Linked DNA regions of Elephas maximus indicus. The protein of the gene in region 2 interacts with the protein of the main gene of each other region in a biochemical or structural test. Links are inferred from orthologs where the notes say so. Each region holds a gene or a part of one and is shown on either strand. Other genes may lie near its edges. The genes, in order: TOR1A and TOR1AIP2.

Region 1 (3,923 bases), on a different chromosome or scaffold from region 2:
AATCTCTAGTATGGGACCAAAGGGACAGTCATATTTTCTGACTTTTACAAAGTTACCTGCTTGTTTTCATTAAAAAAAATTCATTTCTATCACTTTTAGCACTTAATTATTAAATATGAAATGAATCCAACTTTGTTGTTTGTAATATGTTTCTTTAACCAACATTAGGTAATTTTTCAAAGGCCAGGTATTGGGTAGCTCAAATGCAAAACTGAATTACTGAGATAGATTTTCTCATTTAGTTCAAAAGACATGGACATGCTCCACCAATCCAGTGTCCTTTCACTGTCACAAGTACATGGCCACTTGTGCTGTTATTTTTCCTGAGCACTTGCACAGGTTGGGATGAGGAAGGAACAGGTCAGTTGACTTAGGGGCTGATTTAGAGTGGGTGTTGCCTTTAGAGAGGTTTGGCTCTGGAGTCGGTCAGATCTGAGCCCTGTCTTAGCTTACTAATTGTGTCTTTGGACAAACACCTTTCCCGCTGAGGCTCAATTTTGTCGTCTGTAAAATGAAGATTATTTTGTTTTCTCCACTAGAATGCAAGGTCAATGAGGGCAGGAACCCATGTATGCCTCGTTTTTCCTTTGCCTCCTCAGGACCTAGCCCATTGCCTGGTATGCAGGTGGTCCTCAGAAATATGAAAGAATGCATGAGTGAATAATCCTTACCTCCAGCATTGTGAGGATTAGAGATATGTAAAGTGTTTGACTTATAATAGGTGTTCAATACCATTTGTTATTTTTGATGTGCAGTACAGTGAATTACTGAATATGGTCCTTCTAGCCACAGTCTTCGTGATTCCCATACAGTGATTGGGTGGGACTATGCAGATAAGGTGCCTATGGCTCACAAAGGGGATTGGACAGCTTGCTGTTAAGCCAGATAAAATGTACGGAACCTGTGATGGTTAAGGTTGTGTGTCACCTTGGCTGGGCCATGATTTTCAGTGGTTTGGCAGTTATGTAATGATGTAATTTGGCAACCATGTAATGATGTAGCCATCCTCCATTTTTTGTGGTCTGATGTAATTATCCTCCATTTTGTGGTATGTCATAAATCCTAGTCTATGCCTATGGTTATGATCCTATTTGGGAGTGAGTTGACTGTTACGTTAATGAGGCAGGATTAGGGTGAGATGTATCTTGAGTCACCACCTTATGAGAGAGTGTGACTCAAGTCACCACCTTTATTGCCCTTATTCAAGTCATACCCTTGCACTGCCTTGCTCAAGTAAGTGAAGTTTCCTTGAGGGTATAGTCTCCATCCAATATATGAATGCTCTGGCAAAGTTCTCTCTTTTGCTCTGGATCCTGCATCCGGCTTGTCATCATCTGACCTCTGATTCTTGGAACTTGGACCAGCAGCCTATCTGACCTGATTGGCCAGCTTCCACAGCCTGTAAGCCAACGGCCTGTCATCTGACCTGCTGATTTGGGTTTGTCAGCCCCTGCAAACCATGTGAGTCAGGAGAAGCCTCCAGCCTGACACCAGACCCACGGATTTGGGAACTGCCAGCCTCCACAACCATGTGAGCCATTTCCTTGACAGTTCGTGAGTTCTGTGAGACATAGCAGCAAATTACAGAATTCAGAAATGGGAGGGAGAGTACTGAGGGGAGGGGAAATAGTTGATTTTAGAGATGATGGAGTGGTACAGCAGTTTGGAAAAGTTAGACATTTGGGACATCTTTAACCTCTGCCTCATAGGAACCAGCTTTGTGCTGATCCTTATAAAAGAAATTATTCATTCACGATGTCAAAAAGTTGAACCTTAAAAATATTTCAACAAATGTTTTTCAGGTCCCTATGATGGTGCAGGGGTAACCAAGATGAATACTGAGGACCTAGCATATTCCCTGGCACACAACAAATATTTACTGAATGGAATGGATGGGTGAGTAGGTGAATGACACTGCTTGCCAGAGTAAGTGTAGCCTTTTGCCTGTTCTAAAAGTGGCCACCAGATGGCGAGAGCCAGGTTTTTCACTGTTGAAATAAGAATTTACAGATAAGCAAAGACAGGAGGCTCCTATGATCCCTATGGTGATGGATTAGAGTTAGAAACATCAGTACAAACTCATGTTTAGCATAATATACAGATAGTTACGTGTAGAAGTATTTATAAGTATGTGTATGCACATGGGTTAAAGTACACACATATATTTCTTTGCTCTGTCAGCTGAGAGGGCCTAAAATTAATGATTCCCCGGTATCAGCTAGCACACCTACTACCCAGATCTTGGTTACTAATACCCAAACCTGTTGCTGTCGGGTCGATTCCAACTCATAGCGACCCTATAGGACAGAGTAGAACTGCCCTGTAGGGTTTCCAAGGAGCAGCTGGTAGATTGAAACTGCTGACCTTTTGGTTAGCAGTCATGTCTCTTAACCACTGTGCCACCAGGGCTGCTTTCTAACACCATTCTCCAGTAAATGGGACTAGAGTTCCTATAAGAAATTGCTGTTTCTAGGACTGGGGTAGGAAATATACAAGATGAGCCCATGGCATCTTGTAGTGCCAGAAGGTAAAGAAGTGCTAAAAACAAAACAAATGAACAACAATAACAAAAAACCACACACTACCAGATCAGTAGGGGTATGTCAAAGGGACACAGGAGTCAACTAAAAGAACTGCCAATGGCCAAAGCTGGAACAACTTGAGTAACAAATAGACTATAATCCAAAGTATAAATATCCATCAGTCCATATGATACAAATGATTGAACAAATAAATGGGGGGAATGAGACAAATATCCCATGCAGAGGAATTCCGAATAATTTATGTGGATTCTTCACCCACAAGGAGGAGAAGCATAACTCCCCACTCGTTAAGTGTGGGCCTGAGCATAGTAACTTTCTTCCCAAGAATACAGTATGGAAAGAGGGGGGTTAACTTTACCGCAGAGAAATCTGACAAACACTACCTCAGTGAGGTGATCAAGACCAACGTTAACAGTTGATACATCGTGTTAAGAGTATATACTCTTGATACGACACTTTACCTCTGTGATCTTCACCAAAACCCATAATCCCTGTCTAATGAGAAAAACATGAGACAAATCCCAACTGAGGGACATTCTACAAAATACCTAACCAGTACTCCTCAAAACTGTTGAGGTCTTCAAAAACAAGAAAAGTCTGAGACCCTGAGGGACTGAAATACTGGGGTGAGGGCTGCGGACCATGATCTCGGGGGACATCTAGCTCAACTGGTATAACAGTTTATAAAGAAAATGTTCTACATCTTACTTTGGTGAGTAGCATCTGGGGCTTTAAAAGCTTGTGAGCAGCCATCTAAGATGCTCCACTGGTCCCACCCTGTCCAGAGCAAATGAGGATGAAGAAGACCAAAGACAAGAGAAAGATTAGTCCAAAGGACTAAGGGACCACAACTACCACAGCCTCCAGCAGTCTGAGTCCAGCACAACTAGATGGTACCCAGCTACCACCATCAACTGCTCTGACAGGGATCACAATAGATGTTCCTGGACAGATCGGGGGGAAAAAATGCAGAACAAAATTCTAACTAAAAAAAAAGACCAGACTTATTGGTCTGACAGAGGCTGGAGAAACCCTGAGAGTATAGCCCCTGACACCCTTTTAACTCCATACGGAAGTCACCCCGAGGTTCACCCTTTAGTGAGATTAGATATGCCCATAAAACAAGCAATAAAATATGTAGCTCAACCACATACACGAGACTAAATGGGCACACCAGCCCAGGGGCAAGGAAAAGAAGGCAGGGGACAGGAAAGCTGGACAAATGTAAATTGGGAACCCAAGGTCAAGAAGTGGAGTGTGTTGACACAGGGTTGGCAACCAATGTCACAGAACAATATGTGTATTAATTGTTTAATGAGAAACTGATTTGCTCTGTAAACCATCTAAAGCACTATTAAAAAAAAAAAAATGTCTGAGAAA
Region 2 (3,923 bases):
CAAACCAATGTTTTAAATTTGACTTTTTGCACAAAGGTAACTACATTTTTACATTATGTATACCTACGGTGAAAGTCTGAAGGAGAATATATAAAAATGAAAACAATTTGATTTGTTGCGGTAGCAGAGTTATAGGTGAATTCTCTTCCTTTCTGTTTCAACCACCAAAATCATGTGCCAACTCCTTTTATAGTAATGAAGAGAAAAGTAGCCCAAAGAGCAATAACTATTTCCGTTTACTGAGTCCTTAAACTATCCCATTTAATATTCCAAATTACCCTATGAATCTTCACTTTGTAAGTGAAGAAATGAGCTTGAAGTCACACTGACACAACAGGAATTCAAACCCAACCCTGACTCCAAAGTTTATGCTCATAACCAACGCTGGGGACATCCTTCCTTATTCCCAAATGCTTGATTTTCTGTTTAAAGTTTATGATAAAATATAATCACCGTATTGAATTCTCTCTTGTAGCAAGCAGTTTAATGAGTAGTTTGAAAGGTACAGAAATATTAATAAGATTTTAATACAACTAAAATCTTAAGTTCAAAAACAAAAAGAGGCCATTTTTAGTTGTTATTTTTTTTGGAGCTTGTAGAATCCCTTTATGTGCTTTTACATTTGGAATCCTTCCCTTTAAAAGAGGTTTGTTTAGTGTAGCTATTCTGAGCAAACCTTCCTTCAGCAAACTCAGGTGGCACTTTACAGAAACATACATTTTTGTAGAATATAATTTGAAATGATTTTTTAGGCAAAATAAATTATATATGAGACAAAATAAATTATTAAAATATCCAATAATTCTCAAACAATTAGCTAAATTCTGAAGTCGGTTTATTTGTGAATTATAGAAGCTCTTTAGGCTAATACTGTCACCTCTACATTAGATAGGAAACTAGGAAAAATAGAGCTTAAATGAGTCACCCAAGGTTATGTGATAAACCAGCAGCAAAACCGGTAATCAAGTTGTGGAGTCTATACTCAACATAATAAACATTCCTGAGGGCTGTCACTTTTTCACAGCGAATATCAGTTTTTCAAACTCTTCTGATCCACACAAAGGCTTCCAAGGACATTTTTAGTTCCTCTACCATGAAATTCCTTTTCCTATTTAATGATTTTCCACTGGCCATTTATATACTGGAGTCCCAGGATGGCATAAACAGTTAAACACGTGACCATAAATCCTCACCTACTAACCAAAAAGTTGGCAGTTCGACCCGCACCCAGAGGTGCCATGGGAGACAGGCCTGGCAACGTGCTTCCAAAAGGTCACAACCTTGAAAACCCTATGGAGCAAAGTTCTACTCTGCCATACTTGGGGTCGCCGTGGGTCAGGGTGGGCTCTATAGCAACTGGTTTGGTTTTGTGGCTTACCATGAAGTTCCTTTTTCTATTAAATTGATTTTCCACTGGCCGTTTATATACTAATCACGTGCTATAAAATAAAATAAAACAGATAAATATGGATAATTGCCATGTTTCTAATTCTTAAAAAACAGACAAGGAAAACATCTCTCATATAGACCCAAAATAACTGCTCTTAAACCTAAGGATAGATAAAAGTGAAACAAAGCCAGTATGTTCAATCAGAGTGAACTCATATCCATGTGAGTGTAACAGTATAAAGTCTAACAAGTACTGCTGACAAAGTAGATAGTGCCAAAGTATGGAGGACTACAGGCTTGGTTGAAAGAAGAAAAAGGTGTAAACTTTTTCATTGGGTATGAAATACAATAGAAAGTAGGGTTCATATATAAAAAATGGGAGCCCTGGTGGCACAGTAGTTAAGTGCTCCGCTGCTAACCGAAAGGTCAGCGGTTGGAATCCGGGAGTGGATCCGAGGGAGAAAGGCGTGGCAGTCTGCTCCAGTAAAGATTACAGCCTTGGAAACGCTATGTGGCAGTTCTAGTCTAACCCACTGGATCGCTATTGAGTCAGAATTGATTCCATAACAATTTTTTTTTTTTTAAATATGTAGTACGTAAGTAAATGAGCCCTGGTGGAGCAGCGGTGAAGAGCTACAGGTCGACAGTTCAAAACTACCAGCTGCTTCTTGGAAACCCTATGGGGCAGTTCTACTCTGTCCTATAGGGTGGCTATTGGTCAGAATGGGCTCGCCGGCAATGCATTTGGTTTTTTGGTTTTAAGGAAAAAGTCAGTTGTAGGGTCTTCCAAAAACTTCAAACTTTGTGCTTCTTAGCACCATTAAGGCTTTAAAAGGAGTCCCTGGATGGTAAAAAGAGGTAAGCCGTCAACTACTAATAGAAAGCATAGCGGTTTGAACCCACCCAGAGGCCTCAGAAGACAGGCCTGTTATCTACTTCTGAAAGGTCATAACCTTGAAAGCCATATGGAGTACAACTCTACACATACAGGGTTGCCATGAGTTAGAATCAACTCAATGTCAACCAGTTTGCTTCTTTTGGTTTTTTTCTTTAAAGGCTTTAAAAACAAAAAAAAGTTAACTATTTTAAAAGGATTAAGATGAACGATGGGATCTTGTGAGGTACATGTCACTTTTTTCAAGGAGGTAAAGATTACTCACTACCTGCACTAGTATTCGTATTTCCCATTTACTCTTTGAACCTTATAAGAATTCTGCTCCTCATTTTACTCTCCAAAAAAAAGAAAAATACACTCACCTTATCCTATTTAGTACTTTTAAAATTCTGTTTATCCTTTTTTACTATAAAACAAAAATATACCCCCATCCTACCCCGTTTAATGTTTTTGCGGTAGGGTGGTGGGGGTGGGGAGGGATCGTTTCTCAAAGAGCGTTTGAAAGGAGAAGGTATCCGTTCAAATATTAAAACATAGAAAAGTTGAATATGCATTTTGTTTACTTACAAATTCCAGGTGTTTTAAACCGTCGACTGTCAAATGTGCGGGGAGCCTTCGAGTGTTCTTCCTGCTCCACAACACTGGGCTACACCCCACGGCCGCAGCCGCTAAATACCGTTCCTGTCCCCTGTCCCCTGCTCACGTGACGGCGACCTCCGCCGGGAGGCGCCCACGGCATGCTGGGACTAGTAGTCTCCCGGTCTCTCCCCTCCCTTCTCTTTCCCCCTCTCTTCCCCTCCACACCCTAAACCCCAGCAGCCAGCGGGGCGCTGGAACTAAAGACTTGGTAAATGCGCACAACAGAACCGCAGACATCCCAAGATTCTTATGCTGATTGGTACCTGACCAGAAGCCAGGCATCTCTACAAGACGTCTGACGCCCCTGACCCCTTAAGGATCTGAAATTCATAGGCTGGAAAAACCCACAGAACCATGACAGTGAGAGGCGGTACCAAATGATAACGACAAGCACCAGTCAGACTTGGCTTAGAATCCGGCCTCTGCCATTACTAGGTGTGTCTTTTCAAGTTGCTTAACCTAAGCCTCAGTCTGCTCGTGCATCAAGTGGGGCCAATACTACCTGACTAATACGGTTGCTGTGAGTAAATGAGATGACGTAGAGAGCGATAGCTGCTAAATGATATTAGTGAATGATCAATAAAAAGGAGGTATTATTTTGACCTATTAATTTTATAAATGTGAAAACTGGAGGAAGGGAAGTGATTTGCCCAAGAACATATGATTGGTTAGGGGCAAAGTAAATTAAGTCTAAAATTCAGGTTTTCCAGTTTCTGAACATCAGTGCAAGACAAAACAGAAGATATCTACTCACTTCTCCAAGTAAATAGCCTCCTTTGCCATGACACTTATGACCAACACACTATTTTTGATTTTTGTCTGACTCCTCCCTTAGAGGAAACCCTGGTGGCGTAGTGGTTAAGTGCTAAGGCTGTAACCAAAAGGTCGGCAGTTCAAATCCACCAGGCGCTTCTTGGAAACTCTAGGGGGCAGTTCTACTCTGTCCTATAGGGTCACTATGAGTCGGAATCGACTCGACAGCAGTGGGTTTGTTTTTTTT

The links.
Region 1: the proteins of TOR1AIP2 (region 2) and TOR1A form a complex in vitro, tested with the Homo sapiens proteins (4 studies listed by BioGRID and IntAct, with this or other methods). The link is inferred for Elephas maximus indicus from reciprocal best matches to the Homo sapiens genes TOR1AIP2 and TOR1A.

The regions. Positions count from the first base shown.
Region 1 is NC_064827.1:80,756,305-80,760,227, reverse strand, and holds the start of TOR1A (torsin-1A), read left to right. Parts: upstream 1-1,156; 5' UTR 1,157-1,531; intron 1,532-1,781; exon of another isoform or gene 1,782-1,802; 5' UTR 1,803-3,923. UniProt on the Homo sapiens protein: Protein with chaperone functions important for the control of protein folding, processing, stability and localization as well as for the reduction of misfolded protein aggregates.
Region 2 is NC_064842.1:42,817,274-42,821,196, forward strand, and holds the start of TOR1AIP2 (torsin-1A-interacting protein 2), read right to left. Parts: upstream 3,001-3,923; 5' UTR 2,852-3,000; intron 1,440-2,851; exon of another isoform or gene 1,379-1,439; intron 1-1,378. UniProt on the Homo sapiens protein: Required for endoplasmic reticulum integrity. Regulates the distribution of TOR1A between the endoplasmic reticulum and the nuclear envelope as well as induces TOR1A, TOR1B and TOR3A ATPase activity.